3 linked regions of the Astyanax mexicanus genome follow. The protein of the gene in region 3 purifies or fractionates together with the protein of the main gene of each other region. This does not show direct contact. Links are inferred from orthologs where the notes say so. Each region holds a gene or a part of one and is shown on either strand. Other genes may lie near its edges. The genes, in order: ptp4a2b, rap2c and rabggtb.

Evidence for each region.
Region 1: the proteins of rabggtb (region 3) and ptp4a2b purify together in Homo sapiens (affinity purification with mass spectrometry; 3 studies listed by BioGRID and IntAct, counting the BioPlex papers as one, with this or other methods). This does not show direct contact. The link is inferred for Astyanax mexicanus from reciprocal best matches to the Homo sapiens genes RABGGTB and PTP4A2.
Region 2: the proteins of rabggtb (region 3) and rap2c purify together in Homo sapiens (co-immunoprecipitation; 3 studies listed by BioGRID and IntAct, counting the BioPlex papers as one, with this or other methods). This does not show direct contact. The link is inferred for Astyanax mexicanus from reciprocal best matches to the Homo sapiens genes RABGGTB and RAP2C.

The regions. Positions count from the first base shown.
Region 1 is NC_064410.1:46,853,436-46,857,188, reverse strand, and holds the start of ptp4a2b (protein tyrosine phosphatase type IVA 2), read right to left. Parts: upstream 2,767-3,753; 5' UTR 2,651-2,766; intron 1-2,650.
Region 2 is NC_064417.1:46,106,418-46,110,170, reverse strand, and holds the start of rap2c (ras-related protein Rap-2c), read right to left. Parts: upstream 2,292-3,753; 5' UTR 1,145-2,291; coding exon 872-1,144; intron 1-871. UniProt on the Homo sapiens protein: Small GTP-binding protein which cycles between a GDP-bound inactive and a GTP-bound active form. May play a role in cytoskeletal rearrangements and regulate cell spreading through activation of the effector TNIK.
Region 3 is NC_064425.1:41,699,580-41,703,332, reverse strand, and holds the start of rabggtb (geranylgeranyl transferase type-2 subunit beta), read right to left. Parts: upstream 2,878-3,753; 5' UTR 2,815-2,877; coding exon 2,812-2,814; intron 1,559-2,811; coding exon 1,451-1,558; intron 333-1,450; coding exon 135-332; intron 1-134. UniProt on the Homo sapiens protein: Catalyzes the transfer of a geranylgeranyl moiety from geranylgeranyl diphosphate to both cysteines of Rab proteins with the C-terminal sequence -XXCC, -XCXC and -CCXX, such as RAB1A, RAB3A, RAB5A and RAB7A.

The sequences.
Region 1 (3,753 bases), on a different chromosome or scaffold from region 3:
CAGCGCACATGGGTTGAGAGAGTGTTGCCAGGTTAACATTTCTAGCCTCTTACTAAATACAATCAGGTGAGCAAAAACCCCAAAGACAAGAGTAAATGTTTAAGTAGATTTTGCTGTTCCACAGTGTTATGTTTTGTTGTTTTCTTTCCAGTTATACTGTATTTCCAGTTGCACCACCAAAGCAAAATGTAAATACACCCCGAACGACTGGTCAGGCTGAAGAAAAAGAAAAGAAAAAAAAGAGGTAACAAAAACCCATAGAAGCCAAACACCAGACTACAAGAAACAGAAGAAATGGAAACTTTAAAGAACATATCAGGAAAAAGACAGAGCCCAGTACTTTTCACATACACGTGTTTTGTATTGCTTTAGTTCCTGCCTGGATAAAACATATCTTTAGCTACCCAAAAACAGTGTCCAGCAAGACACCTACATAGAATACACCTACATAGGCCACCTGGCATTTGGGCCTGGGATATTCATTTGCCAATTTCACAACCCCGTCCCAATGACTCAAACCACACAAAACACAGTGCAATGTGCCCACAAATAAGTAGGTTAACAAAACACTTTCTGTTAATACCAGGACAATGCATTATGCAAAGGCCCAGTACTATCAAGGCAGAAAAATCATATTTAGATACTTTTGCTTTTGCGGATATTTCTTGCCACTGATATAATGATAATATAATAGTGTAATAATACATTTACAAATAACTTTTTAAGGAGCAATGCAATTATAATCATTCTGATTAACCAAACAGTGGAAGGCTAACCTTTATTATCTGTATGGAGAACTTTTAAGTTCGCTGGTGTTCAACTGTACCTAGCTGGTCTAGTATCCTTAGCCAAAACCTATCAAACCTAATCACATTTTACCTTTATAACCCCGTTATAAATAACATAGCTGTTAGATGTGTTGTATTCAAGGCCTTATCTTGTGCTTCAGCTCTTCATTAATAGCAATAAGCCCTTGTTCATGCCCGGGCATGTCTGTCCTCAACACTTGTTCGCAATTTGTGTTCCCGAGGATGAAAGAAGACCGAGGGAAATTGGGCGCTGTTCGGGTGTTCCCGCATAGCTAACTATTGAGTTAAGCCAAAAAGAAGAGAGGAGACGGAGGAAGAACATCGTGATGTTTGTTTCTCTACACACCTTATCTTAGCTAGCTTCGTTTCTCTAGGTAGCCTGCTGTTTGGACGACTAGTGAATTCTTCTAATTTCAGAAACATTGACAGTTTTCCTAGCAAATCAGTTAACTTAACAGGCAGCCAGAGTTAGGTTCACTCAAGCTAATTTAACTAACGTTACTTAAGCTAGTTAGTTAGTATGTCTGCGAACAACAGGGTGAGGACACAAGCCATCTGATTCAGTAAGCCAAGTTAGCTGAAGCTAGCTATTTAGCAAGCACTAGCCAGCGCTAGCTGGAAATAACGTTATTAACCGGCTGCTGCGATGTCACAGTCGTTCACACGGACTTACTAGATGTTTTAACCTCGAAAACGTGATCGAGAACTGGAAAATACTCCAATTTAATCCGTACACACAAGTATACAAGCCAGTATCTCCAGCTATTTTCTAGCCAACACCAGAACGCATGGTTAGGTCGCTATAAGCTAGCTAAAAAGCAACGTTGGTCAATCCAGGTCCAGAAACTCAAAATCCACCCATGTGTCTGTCACAATAACCTATTTTTGATTATATTTAATAACTGTAATATTAAGACATTTCATGCCACTGGCAAAGTTACTGATAACATAATAGCTAGCTACTATAGCTACTATAGTTATAAATGTACACATTACAATTAACTATCTGGCTATGATCCACTATCTCACTCAGACACTAGAATTGGAATAGAATCAATTTTAAATCATCATAAATAAAAAAAAACATCAACTAAATTAAATAAAACACTATTTGTAAAGAAAGTGGATATACTGTCACATTCCAGCATATATCAAGGTTTAGAAAGTAAAAATCCATTCCGTGATTTTGCTCCAACTGCCTTGCGAACCGCTAGGCAGCAGCAACACAAAAGCCGTACAGGCAGTTAGAGCAAAATACCGGGGGTGGATTTTCGTTTCCTGGATCTGGATTGATGACACCTCTCCTAAACATTAGCTAGGTAACCACCTAAACTAGCCAGATTAAATGCTGTGACTAAACGGCAAAGAGAGACATTAATAAACGAGTTCAGCATGAAAACACCACACTGTCATCTTATTTATAACAAACTACAGTCATTATTTACTCAAAAAACAGGTTAAATGGACCGTCAGCTAACTTAGATTAATATCTGCCGCTTCCAAAACGTGTCGTGCTCGCGCAAATGGCTGCCACATTTCAGCATTAGCAAGCTATGTTAGCTAGTGTGCTAAGCTATCTTAGCTAACCTAGCAAGCAAGCTAGCAAGCTGACCCGCCTGGCTTTCTTCAGGCACTTTAGCTGTCCGGCTATAATAGACAACACTAACTGTTAATACGAGCTGGCTAACCTAGGCTAGCTCTTAGCTAACGCTAGCTAACTTAGCCACTAGCCACAAAGGCTCCTGAACAACAGTTTGCCTTTATCAAAGAAAAAAACATTAACAGCCTTTAAACACTTTTCAAACATATTATCCTGTGAGTAATGAGTCACAGCTACTTACAAAAAACAGGCTGAACATTGAAATCCCGTGAGAATCGCCGGAGAAAGTGGATCGGAGTCGGTAACCGCTCTGCAGGCTCTCCTTCCTCTTCACACTTCACACTGAAAAGTGAGTTTCTCGTAGCGACCTCCGGACTCGAGACTGAAGCTTAGATTTGAATCGGTTCTTTTCAATGAGTCGAACCGACTCACACTTGCCAAATGAATCTATCGACTATTCTAGCATTTTCTAACCCAGTGGTTCTCAAACCACCCATGAACAAACCAAAACGTTATAAATAAAAAATAAAATATTAAAAGGAAATGTATTTTGGTATTATTACTAATACAGAAACTTGTGAATTCAATTGTAGGGCCTATGCAACTAAAGAACTGAAGTATACCAGGCCAAGCACTAACACAAATACACCTGATGTTGTGAAAATTAAAGGTAAAATCTCTTTTTGAATTGCTCATTTACTGTTTTTCCTGCAAAAGCAGTGGCTTATTCTGCTTAGTTGATATAAAAAGCATAATGTTATTAGAACTGTTCATTTATTCTGTCCAACTGTAAAAATATTTTAGCCACCTGAATCCATGAAAATGAACTAGAGTAAACACTGCATTTTATTTATTTTATTAATATATAATATGATCAAATTTACATTTCAATACATTTAGAAAAAAAGGATTTTCATCCTTTGAAACAACAATCTCTACTGTCCAGAGAAGGCCTTCTACCAAATTTTCTAGATGTTGAAGAATTGCTGTGGGGATTAAAATTAGTGACAAGAGCCACCTCATCCCAAACACTCCAATTTATCCCAATCCTCCAAATTTATCACAAACACCCTACCTCATCCCAAACACCCCAATTTATCCCAAGCCATGCAACCTATCCCAAACACTCCACCTTATCCTAAACACCAAACATATCACACCTTATTCCAATCACCCCAATTTATTCCAAACCCCCAATTTATCCCAAACACCCTACATCATCCCAAACACCCTACATCATCCCAAACCCCCAATTTATTCCCAACCCCCAATTTATCCCAAACACCCTACCTCATCCCAAACCCCCAACTTATTCCAACCCCCCCAGTTTATCCCAAACACTCT
Region 2 (3,753 bases), on a different chromosome or scaffold from region 3:
TTAAATAGCCATCGAAATTGAGCCAATTCTGTTGTTTTAAATCAATAGAGACCGCTAGGAACATGAGCTGTACACACACATTAAGTTAGTTGACAACCAAAATAATCTTTAGTATGAGCCCTAGTAGGAATTTTTGGCACTGAATAACATTTCTTCTGCATCAGAGGACCACCTAGCTACCCAATTCTGAGCTTTATTATGTAGGCCCCCCCCCCTGTAGGAAAACCTTTTATCTAGCTACAACACCATTTTTCAGTTTTCTTTACTGGAAGGAACACCACTCTTTGGGGCTATAGAAAATATAGATGGTGTGGCATAGAAAGAAGATAACCTTCATAAAAACAACAGACACTTATTAATCTAACCTTTGGAAAAAATTAAGATACCACTGCAATTTCTAAATTAGTTTCTCTGATTTTGCTATTTATAGGTATATGTTTGAGTAGAACTAGGAACAACATTTCTTCCAAATAGAAATATTGTCATTTAGAGCAGTATTTGCAGAAAATAAGAAATGGCTGAAATAACAAAAAATAAGCACAGCTTTAGAAATCAATGTTTGGTGGAATAACCCTGTTTTTTATCACAATTTTCATGCATCCTGGCATGTTCTCCACCACCAGTCTTACACACTGCTTTGGATAACTTTATGCCACTCCTGGTGCAAAAATTTAAGCAGTTCAATTTGGTTTGATGGCTTGTGATCATCCATCTTCTTGATTATATTCCAGAGGTTTTTAACGTAAAAGCAAAGAAACAGTTTTTTTCCCAGAGCTGTATTATCAATTGCCCACACCCCATCTGTTCAGGCATACAGGTCAGATAACCCACTGTTTTTCCAAACTTGAGCACAACGTTGACAGGAGCCCACCTGAAACGACTGCTGATTGACGAGGCTGTAAACCAGGATGAAGCCTTGGCCGTTCTTGATGTACAGATCTCGCATGGAGGCGAACTGCTCGGTCCCGGCGGTATCCAGGATCTCCAGCACTGACGGAGACGAGTCCACCTCGATCTCCTTCCGATAAAAGTCCTCGATCGTTGGGTCATATTTCTCTATGAATGTCCCGGTGACAAACTGCACGGTCAGCGCGGACTTGCCGACGCCGCCGCTGCCCAACACCACCACCTTATACTCCTTCATTTGGGATCGGGCGTTAGATTAGCTTAGCCAAACACTAAGCCCAACCTATGGCTGGCTGGGTGGCTAGCAGGCGAACTTTTAGCTAGGCTAGCTGGCTGGCTAACTGCTCCCCAACATCAAGCAGACAGACACTTTTGACGGGTAGCTGGAATAAATTTTTATTTTTTATTGGATTAATCAGTTAAAATCGTATTTTCCTTCTGAGTTAGCGGTTTTATATATGTTTTGCAATGACTTGGCTAGCTTAGGTTAGCTAACTAGCATTAGCTAAGGCCGGCTGGCTAACCTAGCTAGCTAGCTAGTTAGCTAAACACTAAACGCCCAAACTCCATAGAAAAGACTCATGGCAGCTAGCTAATTGTAGCTAGCTAGTAAGCTAACTAGCTAAATAATACAGCTAAAAACTATCTTGGCTAACTTCAAATTAGCTAACCAACAACTCTAGCTGTTAACAAGCTCGCCAAAATGCTAACTAGTTAGTTAAATAAATACTGTCAGTGATAGTGTTGCTGCCATTTTGCTGTGATAGCTTATCAAACCTAGCTAGTTACATGGGAAAAATATCGTTAGCAGTTAGGTTAGGCTAAACTATGCTAAGCTACTAGCTATCTATCACCCCCCCGGCTCCGCTCTGCTCTGCTTCGCTCCTCCGCCCCACTGACCGACTCGCCGCTCCCGGCCCCACAAACCCTGTCCAGACCCGCGCAAGTCCCCGCTAGCCCGAACTCCTCTTCTGGTGTCCGGCTCTGCAGATCTCGGTGCCGCCGGTTCTTCCTTTAGCCTGGTTAATCAACAGGTTCGGGGGTTTTAAAGCGAGCCCCTTTTCTGTTGTCTGTCTGTCTGTGTGTGTGTTAGCGCCCAACACAAAACCCGCACTCCTCCCTCCCTTCTTCTCCTCCTCCACCTCCTCCTTCTCCTCCTCTGCCTGCCCGGCCTCTCCCTCTCCCGCTCTGAGAGCCTCAGCAAGCCGGCCAGCTCGCTCCGATCGCCTCACACTGACCAGCGGATGTCGGGCGGAAAGCCCATCGGGTCCGATCCGAACTTCAACGACCCGCTTTTCATCTATAACAGGAAAATCACTGCTGTTCAGGCCGAGACTCCGCGCCGCAGCCCCGCTGTTAAGACATGGCTGCTACTTTTCTTTTGTAAAAATGTTCAGAGCTTAGCAAAATCCCTGATTGGCTGGCCGACAAGAGGCGCTCGTGATTGGCCGACGCGACTGGTAGGCGAGATCTGGAGCAGGGCAGAGGAATTCACTTATATATAGTCTATACAGTATAATCATTTATTGTAATTAATAAAATAGTCAATCTCATTATTTTTTAAACATTTGAGCGACTTTTGGACTTTTTTGGTTCTTACATAACAACTTACATGTCTATATCTATGACCTTGTATTGTACAATGTCTCTCATAGTGTCTCTCATTCTTTTATTATTTATAAATTATTATTCTGTACTTTAGTCAACTATCGCTTTATGTTTTTTTTTTGCTGTAACATATGCAGTATTGAAAATAAAACTACTTGACTTGAACTTCAGTTTAAATAAAATATTTAAAACAGCATGATTTATGTGCGAACATAACCTTCTTGTATTTCTGTATTTCAGTGAAGATGTACAATATCGATTATCCCATTTTGGTGTTCCAATCACTTCCATGGCCACATGGGTATAAAACCAATCACCCATTTATGCAGACCGTTTCTACAAACTATTGTAGAATATTATAGTATATTATAACAAAGTGGAAGAATTTGTAAATGAAAGCAAATCAGAAACTAAGTGGTAAACCACATGAAATGAACGAGCATGGTCAGCGGATCCAGAGGGACATAGTGCCAACTCAATTGCTACACACCTCCAAACTTCATGTAGTCTTCAGATTATCTCAAGAACAGTTAATAGAGAGCTTTACGAAATAGATTCCAACAAAAGCAAAAGTAAAGGACATCACGGCTGGAAAGTGTTGGCTGGGGTGAAGAATCATGCTTTTCTGTTTGGCAACAAGACAAGTCTGGGTTTGGTGTGGGGTACGGTGAAGCAGTTTTCTAAAGAATTTAAAATTTAGTATTAGAACTTCTGATCTAATGTACAGCCATATTAACAGTTACATCAATATAGAATTAAAGAAACAGATCCCAACCAGTGGTCACATCGTTGTTAACAGGTAGGGCAAAAACATGGCTGCTTTATTTTCTCAGTCCAGCAGATGGCACTGTTGATCGGCCTATATCTCTTTGCAGATATTTGCAATTTTATTTTAATCAAAATAATTTACTTCATACGACAGAACGTGTAATGTTACGTTACTTTATAGGCTAGATAGACATGTTATGTATTTTTATCAGACTTTTAATTTGTTATTTTCGTAACATACTCAGTGAAAATAAATGCACTCAACTTGACTAGTTCGCTCAGTTGTAAAAACACTACCTATAGCCTATAAAGGATTGGCAAAATATTGTAAATATCGATATATATACAACTATACAAGATCAAAAATGTTTTCTGTGTGCAATAAAAAATGACAATTGTTTAATTTATTTTGCAATGACACTCAACACAGTACATAATAATAATAATAATAATAATAATAATAATAATAAT
Region 3 (3,753 bases):
CATCTGATATTTATGGCTGTGATAATAAACTATTCTCCCAAATCTCTGAACAAACAAATTATAAGCCAACACATTGTAACTGATCATTAGTGTTCTGGCTGTTAGACTGATCTGAGAGCTGTAGACTGTGTGACCTGCACGGCGCTGAGTGTGTACAGCAGGTGCGGGTCGTGGCCGATGCTGGCGCTGATCCCTCCGCAGTCATGCTGGCAGGATTTGATGAAGTCGACGATCTCCTCTCGGTTCATACGGTGGAGCTGACCCATCAGATCCATCACAGTCAGACCCCAGTAAATCCCACTCATCCTCAAATACTCCGACAGAGTGTATTCCTGCAGAGCAGAGGGGAACAACACTATCAGTCTATTAGAGGTTACCTTACATGAATTGTTAGGTACTTTAGCCTCCTACTGTAAGAACATAACATTTATGGAATTTGTTTAATAATTAGGTTTGACTGTGAGCTGTCTGAGATGAGAGCAAGAAAATATCTAAAAAAAAAACTAATAAAAACAACAAAAAAAAAACTTAGTGAAGTTTGGAGTTCAAGAAATGAACCGAGTCACTGATCTGTGTTTTAATTCAGTTGATCATTAAAAACATGATGTAAGAACATAATATTTATGGAATTTGTTTAATAATTAGGTTTGACTGTGTGCTGTCTGAGATGAGAGCAAGAAAATATCTAAAAAAAAAAACCTAATAAAAACAACAAAAAAAAACACTTAGTGAAGTTTGGAATTAAAGTTCAAGAAAAGAACCGAGTCACTGATCTGTGTTTTAATTCAGTTGATCATTTAAAAGCAGAGAAATCGGGTAATTAAGGCATTTAAAATATAATGTGATTTGTGTGTTGATTGGATGCTTTAAGGTGAAACAATCGATTAACAATTGCATTGATATCAGGTTGTGACGTTGTGTAAAAAAAAAACAGCTGAAGAAATGTAAAAAATGTTTATAGAAGATGCATTTTTTGGGGGCAAACATTAGAAAAAAAATTCCCAGCTTAATAACTCAAGAATGTCTCAACACACCAGCAAAAACCATATGTATGGCTAGAAAAAGGTAGAAACAAAAAGACAACATAGAGCTCAGAGGCTCAGACACTGGATTACACTTCAGAACACATTAAAACTGAGTAAATGAGTCACAGAAAATTACTCTGAACGAAACTTTAAAGACACATGCATTATTAAGTGTTTTTCACAATGGATCAATCACGGATTCTTAGAGAGTGAGGGCGCTGCAGTTTTTAGAAACTGTAGGATTTCTTTTTATCTCTTTCTAGCCATACATATGTTTTTTGCTGGCGTGTTGAGGCATTCTTGAGTTATTAAGCTGGGATTTTTTTTCTAACGTTTGCCTCCAAAAATGCCACTTCTATAAACATTTTATACATTTCATCAGATGTAAGCGTTCAGTTACATTACATCTTGCTGCAAAAACTTACGTAATCATCTTTTTTGGAGCCATAGGCAGCTATATAATCAGCATGCTTATCCAGAAAGAGAGTATTGGGGGCATCAGACTTGATGACCACGTCTTTAATCTGAGTCCCCTGTAAGACAAAAGATAAGACAAAAAAATGTATTTACATTCATACAGACAGAAAGACAGAAGAGATCATTATTGTCGAAGAACAAAGTACAACAAAATGAAGTGACAATCCCAAAGTAGAGTGCAAAAATGTGCCTGGCTATAAAAAAAAGTCACCACCTGCATTTAACTAAGTAAAAAAAGAGCCTCCCATTGGAGCATTTCTGAATACATGATTATGTAAGCAGTGACGCAATGAGTAGCTTCTCATTTGTTAAACAACCATGTGGAAAGACGCATCCTGTGGTTGTGGAAAGGATGTTAATCTTTCAGATGGGTAAAATTATTAACATGCATCAGGCAGAGAACACAGCTACGAAGGTTAAGAAGAGAGACGACTGAAGTGATGCAGCATCATGCATCAGGAATGAGTGCAATATATCATGCATCAGGAATGGCATAATGTTATCCAAAAGCAGTGTGTAAGACTGGTGAAGGAGAACATGCCACAATACAAGAAAACTGTGGTTAAAAAACAGGGATATTCCACCAAATACTGATTTCTTAACTCTTAAAACTTTATGAATATGAACTTGTTTTCTTTGCATTATTTGAGGTCTGAAAGCTCTGCATCTTTCTTGTTATTTCAGCCATTTCTCATTTTCTGCAAATAAATGCTCTAAATGATGATATTTTTATTTTGAATTTGGGAAATATTTTATCCGTAGTTTATCGAATAAAACAACAATGTTCATTTTACTCAAACGTAAACCTATAAATGGCAAAATCAGAATAACTGATTCAGGAACTGAAGTGGTCTCCTCCTTTTTTCTAGGGCTGTATATTAGTTTTCTGTCCAAAAACAATTACTCTTATTTACCTCATACTTCTAAACCTTTTAGTAACATCAACCTCATATTTCTACTCATAGAACTCTTTATTAGAAACCTCTACATTTCTTTAAACAATATATTTTAACGCTAGATATCGAGCTATTTTCAAGTTTTATTCATTTTTTCCATTCCACCTTAAATGCCGCAGAAGTTCACTTAGGGCTGCCAAAGCGTTACTACTATAACTGCAGTAGCATTTAAGGTGGAACGGAAAATTCAAACACGGCGCTGTCTGAATTTGTGTTGTTTTACTTACAGGATTAACTTAATGTACCAATATTAACACACCTAACACACTGATAAACACTGACAACTCAAACCTGACTAAAACGATCTTAATAACAGCTTACAAACGCATAATAATACACACAGAGTCACTCACCATCCTGCTCCACAGCTAATGCTAATGCTAAAGCTATGCCCACACTGGACAGACACGTCACTACAGAGGCTCTGATGGGTCATTTTCAAATTACACATTTTGCGATTCTCTAAATATACAGCTCTGAAAAAAATAGGTATATTTATAGGTATATGTTTGAGTAAATGAATACTGTTATTTTATTCTATAAACTAGGGACAACATTTCTTCCAAAGTCCAAACAAAAATATTTTTATTTAGAGCATTTATCCGCAGAAAATGAGAAATGGCTGAAATAACAAAAAAGATGCAGAGCTTTCAGACCTCAAATACTGCAAATAAAACAAGTTCATATTCATAAAGATTTAAGAGTTCAGAAATCAATATTTTTTTTAAATAACCCTGGTTTTTAATCACAATTTTCATGCATTTTGGCATGTTCTCCTTCACCAATCTTGCACGCTGCTTTTGGATAACTTCATGCCACTCCTGGTGCAAAGATTCAAGCAGTTCAGCTTGGTTTGATGGCTTGTGATCATCCATCTTCCTCCTGTTTATATTCCAGATGTTTTCAATTTGGTAAAGTAAAAAAAAAACTTTATTTTTAAGTGGTCTCATTTTTTTCTAGAGCTGTATATATTTTTTGTATTTTTTCCACTAAATATTATTTTTACTTTAGTGACTATATTAATGTGGCAAAAATATGTATGTATTACATATTATCTATTTCACATGCTTAAGAGATACATAAAGTACTAAAGACACAGAACACAGTAAAAGTTTGTGAATTGTTCATTAAGCTCCGTACTTACTCTGTAGTAGAAGTAACTCAATCTGTTACTATAACCTTCAACAAACATCTTATATTTGAAGGGTTTCTTCTCCCAACATCAAATTTAAGATCTCTCCACAAAGTGTTCAGTGGGATTTAGATTTGGACTCATTGCTGGCCACTTCAGAACT